3 linked regions of the Rattus norvegicus genome follow. The protein of the gene in region 3 interacts with the protein of the main gene of each other region in a biochemical or structural test. Links are inferred from orthologs where the notes say so. Each region holds a gene or a part of one and is shown on either strand. Other genes may lie near its edges.

Evidence for each region.
Region 1: of the proteins of Nfkb2 (region 3) and Btrc, one has a biochemical effect on the other in vitro, tested with the Homo sapiens proteins (2 studies listed by BioGRID, with this or other methods). The link is inferred for Rattus norvegicus from reciprocal best matches to the Homo sapiens genes NFKB2 and BTRC.
Region 2: the proteins of Nfkb2 (region 3) and Bcl3 form a complex in vitro, tested with the Homo sapiens proteins (2 studies listed by BioGRID). The link is inferred for Rattus norvegicus from reciprocal best matches to the Homo sapiens genes NFKB2 and BCL3.

The regions. Positions count from the first base shown.
Region 1 is NC_086019.1:254,305,145-254,310,639, forward strand, and holds part of Btrc (F-box/WD repeat-containing protein 1A), read left to right. Parts: intron 1-928; coding exon 929-1,025; intron 1,026-1,639; coding exon 1,640-1,777; intron 1,778-2,212; coding exon 2,213-2,331; intron 2,332-3,986; coding exon 3,987-4,236; intron 4,237-5,495. UniProt on the Homo sapiens protein: Substrate recognition component of a SCF (SKP1-CUL1-F-box protein) E3 ubiquitin-protein ligase complex which mediates the ubiquitination and subsequent proteasomal degradation of target proteins. Recognizes and binds to phosphorylated target proteins.
Region 2 is NC_086019.1:88,609,504-88,615,753, forward strand, and holds the start of Bcl3 (B-cell lymphoma 3 protein), read right to left. Parts: upstream 4,053-6,250; 5' UTR 4,015-4,052; coding exon 3,774-4,014; intron 1,404-3,773; coding exon 1,250-1,403; intron 1-1,249. UniProt on the Homo sapiens protein: Contributes to the regulation of transcriptional activation of NF-kappa-B target genes. In the cytoplasm, inhibits the nuclear translocation of the NF-kappa-B p50 subunit.
Region 3 is NC_086019.1:255,106,120-255,112,375, forward strand, and holds the start of Nfkb2 (nuclear factor NF-kappa-B p100 subunit), read left to right. Parts: upstream 1-2,254; 5' UTR 2,255-2,512; coding exon 2,513-2,533; intron 2,534-2,789; coding exon 2,790-2,871; intron 2,872-2,990; coding exon 2,991-3,031; intron 3,032-3,244; coding exon 3,245-3,343; intron 3,344-3,422; coding exon 3,423-3,574; intron 3,575-3,839; coding exon 3,840-3,946; intron 3,947-4,031; coding exon 4,032-4,190; intron 4,191-4,429; coding exon 4,430-4,534; intron 4,535-4,660; coding exon 4,661-4,746; intron 4,747-4,832; coding exon 4,833-4,971; intron 4,972-5,121; coding exon 5,122-5,247; intron 5,248-5,356; coding exon 5,357-5,563; intron 5,564-5,643; coding exon 5,644-5,785; intron 5,786-6,135; coding exon 6,136-6,250; intron 6,251-6,256. UniProt on the Homo sapiens protein: NF-kappa-B is a pleiotropic transcription factor present in almost all cell types and is the endpoint of a series of signal transduction events that are initiated by a vast array of stimuli related to many biological processes such as inflammation, immunity, differentiation, cell growth, tumorigenesis and apoptosis.

The sequences.
Region 1 (5,495 bases), about 800 kb from region 3:
CACCGTGTTTGGTGGGCTCTTAACTTCAGGATAAGGAATTAAATTTTTTACCCAGCAGGAAGTGATTGCCATTTACCTTTGTTTGTTTGTTTGTTTGGTAGCAGTCTAGCTTGGCTGTGAGCCTTTAGAAATGTGCTGTCGTAAGGAAGGGCACGTAACGTGCTGCATGCCCGAGTCAAAGTCAGGAAATGGCATCTGTGTGCACGCCAGAGCACGCCTCTGAAAGCAGCCTCCTGCCTCACATATGATGCACCTCTTCCCTCCCTACTGTTAGACATGCATGCAGTCCTTTGTCTCTGTTGTAGGACCTGAACTGCCTCTTTTGGCAGTGATCAGGAATAGCCAGGGTGACCAAGCAGACAGCTAGCAACACACCTTACTCTGTGCTAAATAACATGAAGCTCGATCATGACAGAAGGAAGCATTTCTGTTACCCAGCATGCTAGGCGTCCTCTGACGCTGGCACAGCTTGACTCGGGCTTGTGCTAGTTCGGCGGCAGCACACTGGTAGAGTGGTAAGCTGCTGTGCCCAGTGAGCATTGCTCTGGGTTCAAGCCACAGCACTAAGGGAGAAAAGGCAATAGTTATTATTAACCAGAGGAATCACCATTTTATCAAACGATGAAGTCAGTAAATGTATAGAAGCCTAACAGACCAGCAGATGGGTTCTGAGTATACTTCTATCAGCCTAAAGCATCCCAGAGGGCTTGGTACTCTGACATTCTGTACTGGAACCAATGTTGGTCCAGTTCCTTAGATTCCACGTTAACATTTTGACAGAGGACTCCAAAAATCAGCTGACCATCGTGCCTTGCCAGACTCATTAATGGAAGTTATGTGTAATGGTAGCTGAAATACTTTGTGAAAAGTAGAAAGCTGCTTATAAATGGATTTATGATATTTTCACTGGTCAATATTTGTTTTTTAGGGGACAATACTTATTCAAAAACAAACCTCCTGATGAGAATGCGCCTCCCAACTCCTTTTATAGAGCGCTTTATCCTAAAATTATACAAGACATTGAGGTAAGAATCGATGTTTCCAGACATTTGCTGAGTGGAAATGTATCATTAGTATGCTTAAGTTACAGTACTATAGAAAACCCATTAAACTTTTCAATGTGAATCAGCAGAAGTTGGTATCTTTACTAGAATAAGGTTGATAAAGTACAGAAAATTCCTGGCCAAATTTTGTCCAGCTTTAAAACCTTTGTAGAGAAGGATTGCCACCTTCCTAAAACAGCAGTGTGAGTTTGCAACTCTGACGCTGGTGAGCTTCAAGAAAGGCCATCAGCAGGCATGGATACCACGTGCCTAAGAGGAACACTGGGCCTGCAGCCTTACTTGGTGCCTACCTTTTAGCTTGTTGTATGAAGCATATTGAGCAGTGGCTCTCAACCTTCCTAATGTGTGGTAGTGACCTCCAGCCATAAAAATTATTTTCATTGCTACTTCATAACTGTAATTTTGCTACTGTTGTGAATTGTAATGTAGATGTCTGTTTTCCAGTGGTCTTAAACCACCCCTGTGAAAGGGTTGATGAGGCCCCAAAGGGGTGGAGACCCACAGGATGAGAACCCCTGCCGTAAACTGAGGTGCCTTCTTTCCTAATTAACTGTTGCTTTGGAACCTCTGTTTAGACAATAGAGTCCAATTGGAGATGTGGGCGACACAGTTTACAGAGAATCCACTGCCGGAGTGAAACAAGTAAAGGGGTCTACTGTTTACAGTATGATGACCAGAAGATAGTCAGTGGCCTTCGAGACAACACCATCAAGGTGACTGGACCCTCCTCACGGGAGGAGCATTGTTGGAGGAGGGTGACCACACTCACACAGCAGTCTGAAGCCTGGCCTTGAGTGTTGTTTCTAGAACATGAGAATCATTTCCCTGAAGGGCAAATGTCTGCTTCTCCCCACACAATCGTATAAATGCGTAGTCCAGGGTTGAACCCCCTTCTAGAAGTGCACTGATGGGGGAACTGTTGTTACTTTGGCCTTGGTAATTATAGGCTACTCTTCCGCCTTGATGAAAAGGATAAGTTAGCATTAGAGCTGAAGTCAACACATCCAGGAGCTTAGCTCAACCTGGAGGAAAGAACGCAGTCTTGCCCTCTCTGGGCTTTGATGTTGGGGATCACACATGTCCAGAACAACAAGTCTCCACAGCACCCATTATGACAGTGATCAAAAGGGTCTCGTTTGCCATCCTAGATCTGGGATAAAAGCACACTGGAATGCAAGCGGATTCTCACAGGCCACACAGGCTCTGTCCTGTGTCTGCAGTATGACGAGAGGGTGATCATCACGGGCTCCTCAGACTCCACCGTCAGGTATGGCCCTGCTACCCCTTTGAACTCTAAGCCTCCGATTTGTGTCACAGTGACTGCGTCTTGGTGAACTCAGTTCGGAAACTAAAGAATAAGCTGTTAGCTTCCTGTCGGTCACTTGTCACTCCAGAACCAACACTTGATGTTGGAACCGTTGGGTAGATTTCTACTTTGGCACATTTAAGAAGCTACACACAGACTTTAATTTGGAGGAGCACCTGTCCTAGGAACTCCCCCTCTATATGGGAAGCCTTGTATTCCTTATGGAGCTAGCTCACGGGAATGGCAGGAAGGGAATGAAGGCTGACTTTCAGGTGATTGTAACTGCGGGGCAGGCATGTGCGAGCTCTTTCAAGTGGATACAGCCCTCCCCTGCCATCCCCACAGTGTTTAATTGCAAGCTTTACTCTAGGAGGGGGCCCTCAATTTCCAGAGGCTCTGGTGATTTGATGGCACAGCCGTTGTGCTGCTGGAGTCCAGTGTTGCTTGAGTTCAGGATTCTAGTGCACTGCTGGGAACCTGCCAGGGATTTCCCCTGAAGCTAAGGGTTTGCAAACACACCAAAAGTCACTTTTTATAACAACTGGAATAGACGGCAGTTATCTGCATTGTCAAATTCTCTAAAGTTATCCCTGTAAATAGGGATAGTGTTCCTTCTACTTCTAGCCACAACAGACCCCCCCCCCCCTTGCAGTCGCTGGCTCTTAACTCTTGGCCTTTGGGGTGCCTCACAGGAGCTGGAGCATGGTAGATGTTTAGGTCATTTACAGAATAGGGGAGAGATGGTGTTTGTTTGCTGTCTTGGTGGTTTGGGGATTGAACCCAGGACTTAGCATGCTAAATAGCAGTCCACCTCCTAGCAACACTACAGCACAAAACTATCTTTCCAAAAGGAGGGTAAACTGGGAAGGAGAAACCCAATCAATGTGCAGAAAGAAAGCAATTGAGGCAATTCTATCTTGGCACAGTTCTCAAGCTCTGCAAGGGTCTCCACTGCCATAAAGCACATGCTTAACGTGGGCGGGAGGGCTCCTCTTGACCAGCCTGCCCCTGAAAAGCACGAAAACGGATGGAGCCTTGGAGTTAGAGTCTAAGGTAGAGAACTTAACGTTCAGGGAAGTAAAAGTCGAGTCCGCATTACTCAATCTGTGGCAGAACATCATGGCCCGTGGATGCAGTGATTGGACAGATACTACTGCTGTTCCTTAGCAGGCTCCTGTTTCCATGTGCCTTCTGTATTGAATGTCAGTATTAAAATAATAACCCAAAAAGCTGGGCCAAATTACCAGATGAGAGTGACTCTCATCCCTGAGCGCTGCGCAGGAAGCCTCGCTAAGCCTGTCCTCTGCGTTGTTTCCTGTGTGTGCTCTACCTGGGGGACGCAGAGAAAAAGCACACTTGCCATCAAAGTGGGAGGTGAGCCAGACATGGTGGTGCACACCCTTAGTCCCAGCACATGGAAGGCAGAGGCAGGTGGATCTCTGTGAGTTCACAGACATTCTGGTCTACAAAGTGAGTGGGGACAGCAAGGACTACACAGAGAGACCCCCATCTCTAAAACAAAAAGAAAGTAGGGGTGGCATTGATGGTAAGCTCCATGGTAAAAAACAGGCATGCATTGTCCTTCACGCTATCGGTCTCCCCGGTACCCTTTTCAGAGTGTGGGACGTAAATGCAGGGGAGATGCTAAACACATTGATTCACCACTGTGAAGCCGTCCTGCACCTGCGCTTCAATAACGGCATGATGGTGACCTGCTCCAAAGACCGATCCATTGCTGTGTGGGATATGGCTTCCCCAACTGACATCACCCTCAGGAGGGTGCTGGTGGGCCACCGAGCTGCGGTCAATGTTGTCGACTTTGATGACAAGTACATCGTTTCTGCCTCTGGAGACAGAACCATAAAGGTAACAACAGGCCACCTCTCAGGAAGTTCACAACTGCAGCAAGGAGTTTGTGTGGTTGAGGACAGCTCTGTGCATAAGTATTGTTGTAGAATAATTTAATAATTCAATTCAAATTTTATCTTTTTTTTTAAGATTTGTTTTATGTATATGAATACACTGTTGCTGTCTTCAGACACACCAGAAGAGGGTGTCAGATCCATTACAGATGGTTGTGAGCCACCATGTGGTTGCTGGGAATTGAACTTAGGCTCTTAACCACTGAGCCATCTCTCCAGCCCCCCAATTTTTTTTTTTTTAATCAGAGCTGAGGACCGAACCCAGGGCCTTGAGCTTGCTAGGCAAACGCTCTACCACTGAGCTAAGTCCCCAACCCTGGAGGTATAACTTAATGGCAGACCACTTGTCTGGTATGCCCAAGACCCAGCATGGAAAAATGACAGTGCCACAGATGGTGGCAATGACAGGGAGCATGGGAAAAGGAGACGCTAGTTTAAGGTCAAGAAAATACATACTAGAGCTAAGGAAATGACCAGTGTGACAAAGCCCTCGCCACATAAGCATGAGAACCTGCATTCAGATTCCCAACAGCCATGGGAAAGCCAGATGCATCACCTCACATTAGTAGTCTTATTGCTCAGGAGGCAACGGTGCCCAGTCCCCAGTGGTCAGTGGCCAGCCATCCCAGCCAAATAGTAAGCTTCGTGTTCAAAGGCCCTGTCTGAAGAATAAGGTGGAGGGGCTCAAGGCAGCTCAGTGTGTTCAGACTGCTTTCGCCAAGGACCTGAGTTTAGTTGTTTGCATGCAGATAGTGGCTCAAAACTACCTGAGTCTCGAGCTCCAGAGGATCCAACTTCTGGCCCTGTGGATCCTTCCAGAGGATCCTTCCTTCCAGCTCACACATGGTACACACAAACTCAAGCGTTACAATACACATAAAAAATATCTCCAAGGGCTGGAGAGATGGCTCAGCCGTTAAAGGCTAGGCTCACAACCAAAAAATATCTCCAAAAAAAGTAAGGTAGAAGGAACTGAGGAGGACACTGAGTATGCACACACACGAAAGGAGACTAATTCATAGAGTAAGTCATTGGCACAGTCTCATGTGACAGCAGCCAGCTTCCCATTAGCTCTCCGGTGCTATGAATTAAACCTGGCTCTTGTTTTCCATTGCTGTTTCCTCTGTTGAGTCTCTTCTGTTTCCTGCTTACCTTTTACTGGTAGAAGTACCGATCCACTGCTCAGCTGTCACTTTTGTGTCT
Region 2 (6,250 bases), about 170 Mb from region 3:
CCAGCTGAGATTCACGCCCATGTTGATTGAGCGGCAGCAGTCAACTGCTTGGAATGTTCACGCTATGCTCCGCCCAGGCCTGAACCCTCCCTGGCTTAGCAGATAGCCAAGCGATAAATCAGAGAATTGGGAAATTGGCCATGACCATGAAGGAATGACGTGGACTAGAGCAGAAATTATCCAAGACCGTGGGGAAGTCGGGAGAGTGGAGCTTCCCTTTGTGTGAGCCCTGCCTCGAGTTTGTGAATGTGAGTGTGCTTGGACCCTGAAGGCTCGCCCTCCATCCAGGAACAGCAGTGGCTTCCGCGGGGCCGGGGATGGGACCCGGGCCGCCCGCCCTGCGTGCTAGTCAAGCGAGCATTCTCAACTGTACTATATCCCCAGCCACTCCTTTTGTTTTCTCTAGTCCAGCCTCTACTTAGCCTCCCCAGAAGGAGGCTTACAGGTGTATACCACCACATGGAGCTCTAGATGAAGTTTACTGGACACATGACCTACGACACACCAGACTCCCATCTCACGTGTGTGTGTGTGTGTGTGTGTGTGTGTGTGTGTGTGTGACCTCCAGAAAATCAGCAGATAAAACAGTTCCCAGAGCTGGGTGTGGCGAAGAACACCTTTGATCCTAGCGCTCAGGGGGTGGATGAAGGCGTATCTATGTGAGTTTGAGGCTAGCCTGCTCTACAGAGTGAGTTTCAGGTCACTTAGGGCCACATAGTAAGATCTTGACTCAAAAATGGGAAAAGGGCTAGAAAGCGGGCTCGGCGGTTAAAAGCAATGGTTGCTCTTCCAGAAGACCCATAGAAGCTTCCCACTATCTATAACTCCATTTCCAGGGGGATCCGATGCCTTTTTCTGGCCTCCTCAGGCACCAGGCATATATACACAGTGCACAGAAACTCACAGGGACAAAACACCCATATACAAAAATAACAGTAAAAGAAATTAAAACAAAGATATATAGTTCTCATATTTGGATTATAATAAAAATTCTGAGAGGTTGGGGGCGTGGCTTCCTGTTAGAGCAGCAAGAACGGAGCATGTGCAAGGTTCGGTCTCCCACCCCCACAACCAAAAAGAAAAAAAGTCACTGTCCTTCTAACCGTATTAGCCAATGAGTGCCCATTGCCTGTAAAAGGAAGCTGTGAGCAGAGGAGAGGGTGCTGTTCAGTGTTGGCCGGCGGTGGCGGCAGAGCCTGATAGCCCCTTGTTGCGGAGGTCTGAGCTCCTCCCACACCCTGTCACTTACGTGTCTCCGTCCTCATCCACCCGGGTGGCCATGGCAATGTCAGCTGAAAGGGGGTGCTCCACGGGGCAAATCATGGAGTAGGGGTGAGTAGGCAGGTTCAGCAGCGGAAAGGGCGGGGCCATAGTCGGGGTAGAGTACATGGGCATCAGAGGTCCTGGAAGAGCAGAGACAAGCGGAGACCCGGATGAAGCCAACCCCACAGGCCTTTGTGCAGGGGGTCTCTCTCTTTGGGTCTTAGCATCCTCTCAGATGCCCTGTTTCCATTCTTATGTAGCCCGGGATGATCCTGATGCAGCTGAGGATAACCTCGAATCCTTGATCCCCCTGCCTCCATTCCCCTCCGTGCTGGGCTTATAAGAGCTGTATCACCTCATATACTATGAGATTTTTTTCTTTAAAAAAATAAATATTTCTTTATTTTCAAAGTGTGTGTGTGTGTGTGTGTGTGTGTGTGTGTGTGTGCCACATTTGTGCATGTGCCCACAGAGGCCACTGGAGGGTGCCAGATCCTCTTAAACTGGCGTTAACAAGGATTGGTAAGTCCTCACATGGGTGCTGGGATCTGAACTCAAGCCCACTGAAAGAACAGTGAATACTTTTAATGGCGGAGCCATCTTCCCTGTCCCAAGGTCCCTTTTCTTTTAAAGATTTATTTTTTTTTCTTTTTTTTTTCTTTTTTTTTTGGAGCTGGGGACCGAACCCAGGGCCTTGCGCTTGCACCACTGAGCCAAATCCCCAACCCTAAAGATCTATTTTTAGTTATTACTTTTAAAGGTTGTATTTACTGTTTTAATGCCCATGAATAATGCCTGAGTATGTACCACAGGCCTGCCTGACCCCCTCAGAGGCCAGCAGAGGGCGCTGCATCCCCAGAACCGTGAGCAGTCAGATGTGGATGCTGGGAACAAGCTCTAGTCCTCTGCAAGAGCCGCCAAGTGCTTTTAACCACTAAACCCTCTCTTTGGCCCCCACCTCTCCTTTGAAACATTGTGTCACTATGGAGTCCAGACTGGCCTCAAACTCAAGGAGATCCTCCTGCCTCAGCTTCCCAAGTGCTGGGATTACTACAGGCTTGCAGATACAGTGTTCGACTATCAGGTTCCATTAGCTCCTCAAACTTGGCCCTCAAGGTCTAAGACAATGTTCTTGTTTATACCCCTCTTCCCAACTCCTGCACCCTTCATCCCTCAACCCCAACCCCCATCCCTCATCCCTAACCCCATCCCTCATCCCTCATCCCTAACCTCCATCTCTTACCCCTAACTTCCATCCCTCATCTCTATTCCTTTCTACATCACATCTCTTCTCTCACAAATGTCTGACCTCTAACAGCAGAAAAGACCCTTAAGGGCAGAGAGAGCCCTGTCACCACCCAGTGTGGGACCTCAGGAATAAGACTACACTGAGTAATCTCATAGTTGAAAGAATAAATGATGAACTAATAGGGGTCTTGGGGTCTGGTGCATTGGGAGAGTCAGGAAACTTATCCCTAGAACCCTTTTGGGTGACACGGTTGGAAGGACCATTGCACGGATGGGAAAATGGAGGACAGGGTTCACATCAGACGGAGGAAGGCCTCCTGTCACACAGTGTCCTCCAGCTGAAGCATGGATAGGTAGAAGCTGGAGACCCTGGAGGGCCCAGAGAAACTCATCATCTCTGGGGTATTTAGCAGATAGTAATGTAGCTACTGCAGGGGATGCCCCTTCCTGGATATAAAAGTTGAGGAGAAGAGTATCTGGTTTCCTGCTCTCTGACCAGCTTTAGGGTTCCCTTTCTGAAGTCCTACCTTTCTAGGTCTCTGAATTCCTCTTGGACCTAAGTCCTTCAGTTTCTAACCTCCTCGTGTTCCCCCTCTTAGAACCCTCTGTCCCCAAACCTGCCCCCAGGGCTACCTGACCTAGGAACACTTGTGAGTGCACGCAAATGGCCTGCAGAATGCTGGCTCTGTTTGCTGACTCCTCCGCGTCTGCAAAATATTGGGGTCCTTGGGGCTCTTCATGTCATCGTGTAGAGTTGTGGCCCAAACACGGGGGTGCTCAGACCCAAATGCCTTTCTCTCAGTCCCTATACCCCCTGAAACCTTGGTTCCCAAGATTTTAACCTACGGTATCAGCTTCCTTGGACCCCAGGTCTGTTTCTATTCATCTCCCCAAATCTGCTTACCAGAACCCCAGTTTCCAAGGCCCGAGTAACAATTATTTCATAGTCCTGAACATCTGGTCTCTCCCAGCCATTTTGCATCTCTGGAGTGAATTGGGACCCCATATCTGCGCCACTGGACACTGTCTTCTGACCTCCACCCCCAAGGCCATTTGACCCTTGGGCACCTGCCTGGGTGAGCCCCTTGGCACCTTCATGGCTGAGCTCCAGTGTTTCTCAACCTCTTTCCTAGCTGTCTCTGGGACACCAACTTCTACCCTGGAGTTCCAGCTACCAGAAACCCCATCTATTTGTGTCCTATGTTCTGCTGACCTTAGGTGGCCCCCACCCGGCCTTGACTCTCATGGGGGAGGCCACTCACCCTGGTAGTAAAGAGCCTCCGGCCTGGCCACGCAGTGAGGGGGTCCAGGGACAGCCGGGACGTCGCAGTTGCTGCGCAGGGCGTCCAGGGGTCCAGCAGGACCTCGCGGGGCTGCGGGCTCTGGAGACGCGGGACGCAGCGGGCGCTTGCGGAGTGGCAGCGCGGCGCCTGAGATGCCCTTGGGCCGGGTGCGTAGGTCCACGGGCCCCTCGTCCATGGCCCCCGCGGGGCATCGGGGCATCGGGCCGCCCGGAGACGCCGGGGCGTGCGGCGAGCTCAGCACGGGAAGGCGGTCTCGCCGGGCTGCGGGACTTCCCCTGCCGCCGACTGAACTGAAGGGACTTTTGTCAGTCCGGGCGGCGCCCGCCTCCCGCCTCCCCGCCCCCGGGCCCCCGGGGCCACCCGTCCGCCCCAGGGGTTTCCTGGACCCGTGTCTCAGAGGCGGAGCTCCTGGTCCCCACCCGCCACTCTGCTCATTGTGCCTCTGGTCCGGAGCTCTGGATCTGAGTCCTTGAGATTCCCACACTTTCTGTCTGTCTCTCACTTTGTTAGACTGGAGCTCATGTAGACCAGGCTAGCCTCGAAATCGCTATGTAGCAGAGGGTGGTCTTGAACTTCTGCTCCTCCTGTTTCCACCTCCTGAGTTCTGAAATGACTCCTGTACTACTGTGCCTTGATCTATCTATCTATCTATCTATCTATCTATCTATCTATCTATCTATCTATCTATCTATCTATCCTTCCTTCTTTCCTTTCTCTTCTACCAGGGGTCACATAGCCCAGGCTACCTTGAATTTGCTATGTAGCAGAGGATGACCTTGAATTCCGGATCCTCCCACCTCCACCTCATCTTCCCTGGAACACTAAAACAAGCAAACGTTTCTGTTGACTGAGTGGGGGCTCCTGCGTGCTAAGGATCTTGCTTCTCAGCCCGTCCCCCAACCCCCCCCCCGAATCTCTTGTCTGTGTCTGGCTATCGGGGTCTACATTTATGAGACTCCCCTCCCACTGGTCCCATCTTTCCTTTAGTGTTTCTGAGTCTTTCAACCAACCATCTCCCTCGGTCCCAACCCTGAAGTTCTTAGAGGCCCCAGGGTTCCTAGGGCATCGGTCTGAATCCTGAGCCCTACTTCCTCATGGGTGACCTTGGCCATGCTCTTCTCCCTCTGAGCCGGTTCCTTTTCGCAATGCTAGAGCCTAGGCTTGTGCACACTGCGCCCTCTCCCAGCCCTCTTTGCGTTCCATTTTAAGACTAAGCTGCCCGGCCTGGCCTTGCCTTTGTTGCCCAGGATGGCTTTGAACTTGAAATCCTCCTGCCTGTCTCTTGAGGTGGGGTGGAATCTGCACCATCAGGGTAAGCTCAGACTCACTCTTTGTGCACGAGAAAAGCCCAGCCCAGGGCAGGGACTGGTTCTTGGCTGATGCCCAGAATGTAGCCACCCTCTGCCTTCCTTGTCCCTCCTGATTCACAGGGCACAGGGTGGTTAGGGGTGCAGGCGAGCTTTGAATGGGTCTCCCTGTCAGGTCCCCAGCAACCAGCTAGAGGCCTCAGAGAAAAAAGCACCAATGAATCCCAGATGCAGAGAGAGGGAAGAGACAGATCCTGAGAGATGCAAGTGTAGATAGGGGGAGTTAAGAGTTTAGATCTGCAGACCTCAGCTAGGGCTCGAGGCCAGACACTTGTGGGGGGTTGGGGGTGCAGGTTGACTCCCTCAGCTTTCCCCACTTCCCTTCCCACCCCAAGGAGGGGCTGGCTGGTGGGGAACAGGCCGGGCTGGTTGGGGCCCTGACTCAAACGCGCAGGAGCCTAGGAGGCGGGGCAGAGGCTCCGCCTCCTCCGGGTCCGCCCCGGGGCGGGACACAGCAGCTCGGGGCTTTCCCGGACATCCCGGGAGGTGGAGCACACACTGGGGTTGAGTCCAGGTCACTGAGTCACAGGGAGGCGGAGGGGGGCGGGGCGGCTTTGTAGACAGAGAGGCAGGGGAATAGGCACCGCAGGCAAACCTGCCCAGAGGATTCTCAGGGTCCCCTGATTTTCTCTCTGCAGGTCCATGTGTCTCTACAAACCTGTCTCCTCATCCTGTTTCCCGACTCCTTTTTTTCCAGACAAGAAGAGTCTCTGTAGCTCAGGCTGGCCACGAACTAGGGACAATCTTCCTACCTCAGCCTCGGTGCTGAGATTACAGGCGTGAACCACCACCTCCATTTTTCTGTCCCTTTTAGTTTCTGTGACCTCCGTGGTGTTTCTTTGGGACCAAGAAAGTGGGTGTGAAGCCTGTGAATGGACTTTGGCCGGCTGGGGCCGCACCCAGGTGGATGGTTAACCTGGTTTGTGGATTCGAGGTGCCAGGTGACTTTACCACTTCCCATCGCCTTTTGTCTCCCTCCGGCTGCCCCACCCCCACCCCACCCCACAGTGTGCCATTAAGGTGAATCAGCTGATTTGAAGAGATCTGTGTTCAAATCTTACCTCCAAG
Region 3 (6,256 bases):
GGACGGAGACGCACCGTACACACAGTCCCTACGGGGAAAGATGACAACACGAGGCCCAGACAGAGAACATGCTGGAAACTCTTGTCCTGACCTTGTTAGTGGAAGTGTGCGCGGAGAAGTCAGCGAAACATCATTTTCAGGGTGACTTTTTAAAAAGATTATATTCCTTATTTTTATAATTACATGGGTTTGGGGTGGGTAGGCGAGAATTGAAGAGTGTGCACCTGAATTCGGTCTCCCAGAGGCGGAGAGAGAGCCAGGGGATCCTGGTGGGGTAGTTTCAGACACGTGTGAGCTGTCCCACGCGGATCGGTCCCCTGGAAGAGCAGAAGAAGTGCTGTGCTGTCTCCCCAGCCTCCCACCCCCTTTTATGATGGTAATAGCTGGGCCTCACCCATGCAAAGCACACCACTGGCAATTTTCCACAGAGGAGGAAGTCTGAAATACACTTTGGACACCTTTGTGTGCATGTGTGTTGATAACGGGTGGAGTAAAACTTGGGATCTCTTGGTTTCAAGAAAGCTGGGACTGCAGGTGCAGTTCACACCCGGTTGGACTCCTTTCAACTCCAATAGTTGAGACATCTGTGGTGGGTGAACGAGGCCTAAGACTCCCAGCCAAACATCTTTCTTCTCTTCCTTTTCTTTTCTCCCCCCAGCGCATTGCTTCTCCAATGGATCTCTTAAAAGCCTTGGCCCTTGTGAACCGGACACTTACAGAATAAACATCTAAAGCCAGGAAACTAAGACAGTTGACCCCAGAGTTTCCTCGCGGCTCCAGAAAAGCCGCTAGATGGCGATCTGGAGCTGACCGCAAGATCCGACTCCTTCCTCTTCCCCTTACTTCCCAGCTAAGAGGCCCCTCTCCCGGAGGGTGACTGGAGTGTCCAGCTGACCCGGTTTCCTTGGGTTTCCCGTTTCAGAGATAGCCACTCTCCAGGCATAGCAAGAGCCAAAAGGCCCAATGGACTCCGTAGCGGTCCCGGGCAAGCCTGGAAAGGTGCAGAGATCCGAGCCGCTCCCTGCGCTGGTCCGCCGTCCCACCTCGCCTGTCCCCAGCAGAACTGGCGCTTGGTAACACCCCGCGGCCAGTCCCGGGCGAGCCTTCCCCGAAAGGGGCGCGCCTTCGTCGCTCCGGGTTGCTACAAGAGTCCTGGAGTTAAACTTTCAGCCAATAAAAAAGGGCATGGGGAGTGACGCACAGGAACGTCACGGGAATTCCCCCCCTCGGGGGGCCGAAAGGGGCTTTCCCGGCTGGAGCCCTACTGCTGGAGAGGAGCAACGACCGGTCCAGGGAAGGGCTCGGAAAGAAGTCGGAACCAGAGCCGCCACCACGGTGAGTGGCTGGATTCAGAACCCTGAGTGTCCAGGGAATGGAGAGGGAGGGAAGGGACACTTTAGATGACAGTCTGGGGCTGGACGCCACCTCCAGTGAGTGCGCACAGGAACAGAACACTTTGCTACACATCATCGACACGTATGCCTGCCCTTAGCCCGCCTGCGCACAGCCGGCCGGTGTCAGCCCTGCACACGCACTCGCGGGCAGAAGGGCACCAGTGCACCGGTGCCTGCACACGGACATCCAGACGTGCACGGACGTGTGCCCACACTGAGCAGCTCAAGAACTCACCTGTGTGGACGAATGCTCACTTGCACGTGCCACGTTGCCACCACTCGCACTCACCAGGCACACAAGACATTAGGGATGAAACGCACATTCCTGTAGCGGACACACGCGCAATACACATGGCTTTGGGATTGGGGTCGCCGGGGAGGGCGGAATGCGACCGGTTGCCTGGCCACCCAGAGCAGGTGCAGCGGGAGAATCCGGGAAGCTAAGACGTTCCGGAGTCTCCGGAGACCGTGAAGGGGGAAACTCCTTCCCCCCACCCAGCGGCCCGAATCACATTCTCTGGGCAGAACCCCCGGAGGCCCCACTGCAAGAGCCCCCGCCTACGGGCCATTCGGAAAAGGGGCCTCCGACGGCAGGAATGTCCCCACAAAAGCCCCTAGGTGAATCAGCCGTGTCCTCCACACTGGCTGAAAATCCCAAGGTTGCTCCAGGCTGCGGAGAGGGGGCGAGGCCGGCTAGGCCTCGACTGAGCCCCAGGGGCTGCAGCGGCTGCTGGGGAACCAGGAACAGCCTGGGCCTCCCGCCCCTCCCGCCGCGGGGGCGGGGCCCCGGCGTCATTTCCAGGCCCGCCCCCTCCGGCTCCGCCTCCCCCTGGTATTTTCGGGACTTTCCTAAGAGCACTAACTTTCTGCCCCTTCCCCGGCCCAGCCCCGATCCGGATCTCGACCTCCACCGGATCTTTCCCGCCACGCCCGGACGGGCGGCTGGAGGAGATCAGACCCTCCCCCAGATCTGAACCCCCCTCTCCTGCCCACCCCTATCCTGAGCTCTTCCCCTCTTCCCCCTCCTGTGCCTCTCTTCACCTTAGGCGGGCGTCTGAAACTCTGGGAAGCTGAACCGGGCCGAAGCCAAAAGACACAGCAGGGCCTAGCCCAGAAATATGGACCGTTGCTACGATCCAGTAAGTCACACTGCCTGACCCTGAAGGCGGCTGGTGCCGTCTGTGTCTGTATTGGACGCTCCTCCACTCCCTACTTCTGCACGGCTTCAAATTCCCCTAGTCTGTCAGTCTGTGCTGTCTGCAAACCCTGCCCAGAAAGGAGCTTCCTCATAGCTTGAAGAGGAGTCCTAGGAGTGACTGCAGAGGGCTTAAGGGGGGTGTGTGGGGGAGTGGGTGTGGGTTGAATCAGCTGCCACCTTCTCCGTCTATAAACCAGGGTTTGGATGGCATCCCTGAATATGATGATTTTGAATTCAGCCCCTCCATTGTGGAGCCCAAGGATCCAGCCCCAGAGACAGGTCAGTAAGTCTTTGGCCTCCCAGTGTCTGCAAACCTCGCGTGTTCCCTGGGGAGGCCCCACTGAGGGATGGTCTTAGATACCCCCCCCCCACGCTCAGCAAGGCCCCTCTATTTCCAGCTGATGGCCCCTATCTGGTGATTGTGGAACAGCCTAAACAGGTGAGTGAACAACAGAGATGTGATGGCTTCAGCTCTGGGGACACGTGGGGTGGTTATAACTGTCAATTGCTGCTATTTTGGGGGGTTATAAGGAAATATACAGGAGAGACACTATTGGTCATTGTGGTCAGTGTTAGCCAGTAGTTACCATGTGGGGGTGGCAGGGGGGAGTTGCCTCTCCTGATCACAGTGTCTCTTCCATGGAACCTTCAGCGAGGCTTCAGATTTCGATATGGCTGTGAAGGCCCCTCCCATGGAGGTCTGCCAGGTGCCTCCAGTGAGAAGGGCCGGAAGACCTATCCTACTGTCAAGGTGAGCTCGGATGATGACGCTGGAGGGTAGGAACGGGATATCCGCGCTACGACTGATGATGATCCTTTACCCTTCTCAGATCTGTAACTACGAGGGGCCGGCCAAGATTGAGGTGGACCTGGTGACACACAGTGACCCACCCCGTGCACATGCCCACAGTCTGGTGGGCAAGCAGTGCTCTGAGCTGGGGGTGTGTGCCGTGTCTGTGGGACCCAAGGACATGACTGCTCAGTAGGTGTTTCCGCCCGTGGCCCCCAGTGGGATGCTCACTGCCTGGCAGTCTCAGGTCTCAGCCTACCTGTGTGATTAACACACAAAGGGGGAGATGTACCTCGGCCCCAGAACCCCCAGGGCTCAGCTATAAACAGTTTCCTTGGAGGACAGAGCCCGAATGAGTCTGGCCATGTGCAGGGGTCAGGGGTGAGGGGAGGGGCGCTGCCTCAGAAGGAAAAAGCTTCATGGTCAAAGCCCTCTGACCCCTCCTTGCCCTCTCCAGATTTAATAATCTGGGTGTCCTGCATGTAACCAAGAAGAACATGATGGAGATTATGATTCAGAAACTCCAGAGGCAGCGGCTCCGCTCCAAGCCTCAGGGCCTTACAGGTGTGGTAGCAAGGGATGGCCGGGAGGTGTTTCGAGAGGAGCCGGGGAAAGGAGCTCAGAGCTCACACCACGTTGCCCCATCCAGAGGCCGAGCGCCGGGAGCTGGAGCAGGAGGCCAAGGAGCTGAAGAAAGTCATGGATTTGAGCATTGTACGGCTACGCTTCTCAGCTTTCCTTCGAGCTAGTGATGGCTCCTTCTCCCTGCCCCTGAAGCCTGTGATCTCCCAGCCCATCCACGACAGCAGTGAGTATTCTGCAGGGTGCCAAGTGTGGGTTCCCAAAGGAGCACTGGCGATACCTCCAAGCTATGGGGTTTGGCCCTGCTATGTTCGTGTTGGGTGAGTGGTCGTAAGCAAATCTGAGTGTTGTTTCCGAGTTGGTTAATGAGAATACTGTGGTTCCTGAAGTTTGATAATGATGACAATGACCTTGCCAAGCCTCCAATCCCATCAATGTGTCCCCAACCCATCCCCCACCTTATAGAGTCTCCAGGGGCCTCAAACCTGAAGATTTCCCGAATGGACAAAACAGCAGGTTCCGTGCGCGGTGGAGACGAAGTTTATTTGCTTTGCGATAAGGTGCAGAAAGGTGAGGCAGAAGCCCTCTCTGGGAGGTGGAAACATTGGCTGTAAGGCTTAGGGGCCAGGGCAATTTCGGAATGAATGCACTGGCCTGCAGGTTCTCCCTGTGGCTAAGCGTCACTTTTCTCTGTAGATGACATTGAGGTTCGTTTCTATGAGGATGACGAGAACGGATGGCAAGCCTTTGGGGACTTCTCTCCCACAGACGTTCATAAACAGGTACTGAGGAACTAGGGCCTGTCTTGGAGACAGAGCTATGAAGAGGCCTCACTGACACCATGTTGCTCTCCCACCCTCCACCCCAGTATGCCATTGTGTTCCGGACACCGCCCTATCACAAGATGAAGATTGAGAGGCCTGTAACGGTGTTCCTGCAGCTGAAACGCAAGCGTGGGGGCGATGTCTCCGACTCCAAACAGTTCACGTATTACCCTCTGGTGGAAGGTGGGTCAGGTGGGGCTTCAGCATTCCCAAAGACTGGACAGAGCAAGGCCGGCCTGGAGGTGGCCTAGAGTTGGCTCCCAGGAGCCGGCTTGAGGAATCTAGGGTCTGACCCATATTGGGTTTTAACTCCCCGATTCTCTTTCCCCCTAGACAAGGAGGAAGTACAGAGGAAGCGGAGAAAGGCCTTGCCTACCTTCTCCCAGCCCTTCGGGGGCGGATCCCACATGGGTGGAGGTTCTGGGGGCTCCGCTGGGGGTTATGGAGGCGCTGGAGGAGGTGAGCAGGTGTCCGTGGCAGGGAAAGGGGTGGAGGAGATAAGGCGAAGTTAGAAGAGAAATCTGGGAGAGTCCTGGCTAGCACCTCACAGCCTTCCCCATGCCCACAGGTGGCAGCCTCGGCTTTTTCTCCTCCTTCGCCTACAGCCCCTACCAATCCGGTGCAGCCCCAATGGGCTGCTTCCCGGGTGGGGGAGGTGGAGCGCAGATGGCCGGCTCTGGACGGGACGCGGAGGCTGGCGAGGCAGAGGAGCAGCCCAGAGCACCCTCCGAGGCCCCCCAGAGCGAGCAGCAGGCCCTGGACACGCTGCAGCGAGGTAGGTCTTAGGAACTCTGGGGGACGGGCGTGCACCAGGCTGGGGGTCTGGCCCGCACCCACGCGCCCTGTCGTCCCTAGCTCGCGAGTACAACGCGCGCCTGTTCGGTCTGGCGCAGCGCAGCGCCCGAGCGTTGCTGGACTACGGCGTCACCGCGGACGCGCGTGCTCTGCTAGCGGGACAGCGCCACCTGCTGATGGCACAGGACGAGAACGGAGACACGTAAGCAACCACCACAGGACCGACGTCTGTGGGACCTCCAGTGGCTGGGATCTTCTGCTCCCAGGTCTAGAGGTTCAGGTAGAGGAATCTGCAAAGAGCTGAACCCTGGGGTTGGACAGATCTGGTCTCAGGTCCTCGCTGTTTTCTAGATATTTACTTACTCTCTCTGACCTTCAATATTATTAGCTATGAAGAGGCACAATAGCAAGGCGTGACAAAAGATTAAGATGGTGGCATACAGGTTTCAAGGGGCCTCAGTAAGGGAGACAGTGGAGTGTGGAGTTTTGAGGGCATATGATGCTCTGGGTGACTGGGTTTCTGAGGTCAAAAGTCTCACTCTCCACCCCCAGGCCGCTGCACCTGGCCATTATCCATGGGCAGACTGGTGTCATTGAGCAGATAGCCCAAGTCATTTATCATGCTCAGTACCTTGGGGTCATCAACCTCACCAATCACCTGCACCAGGTAAGG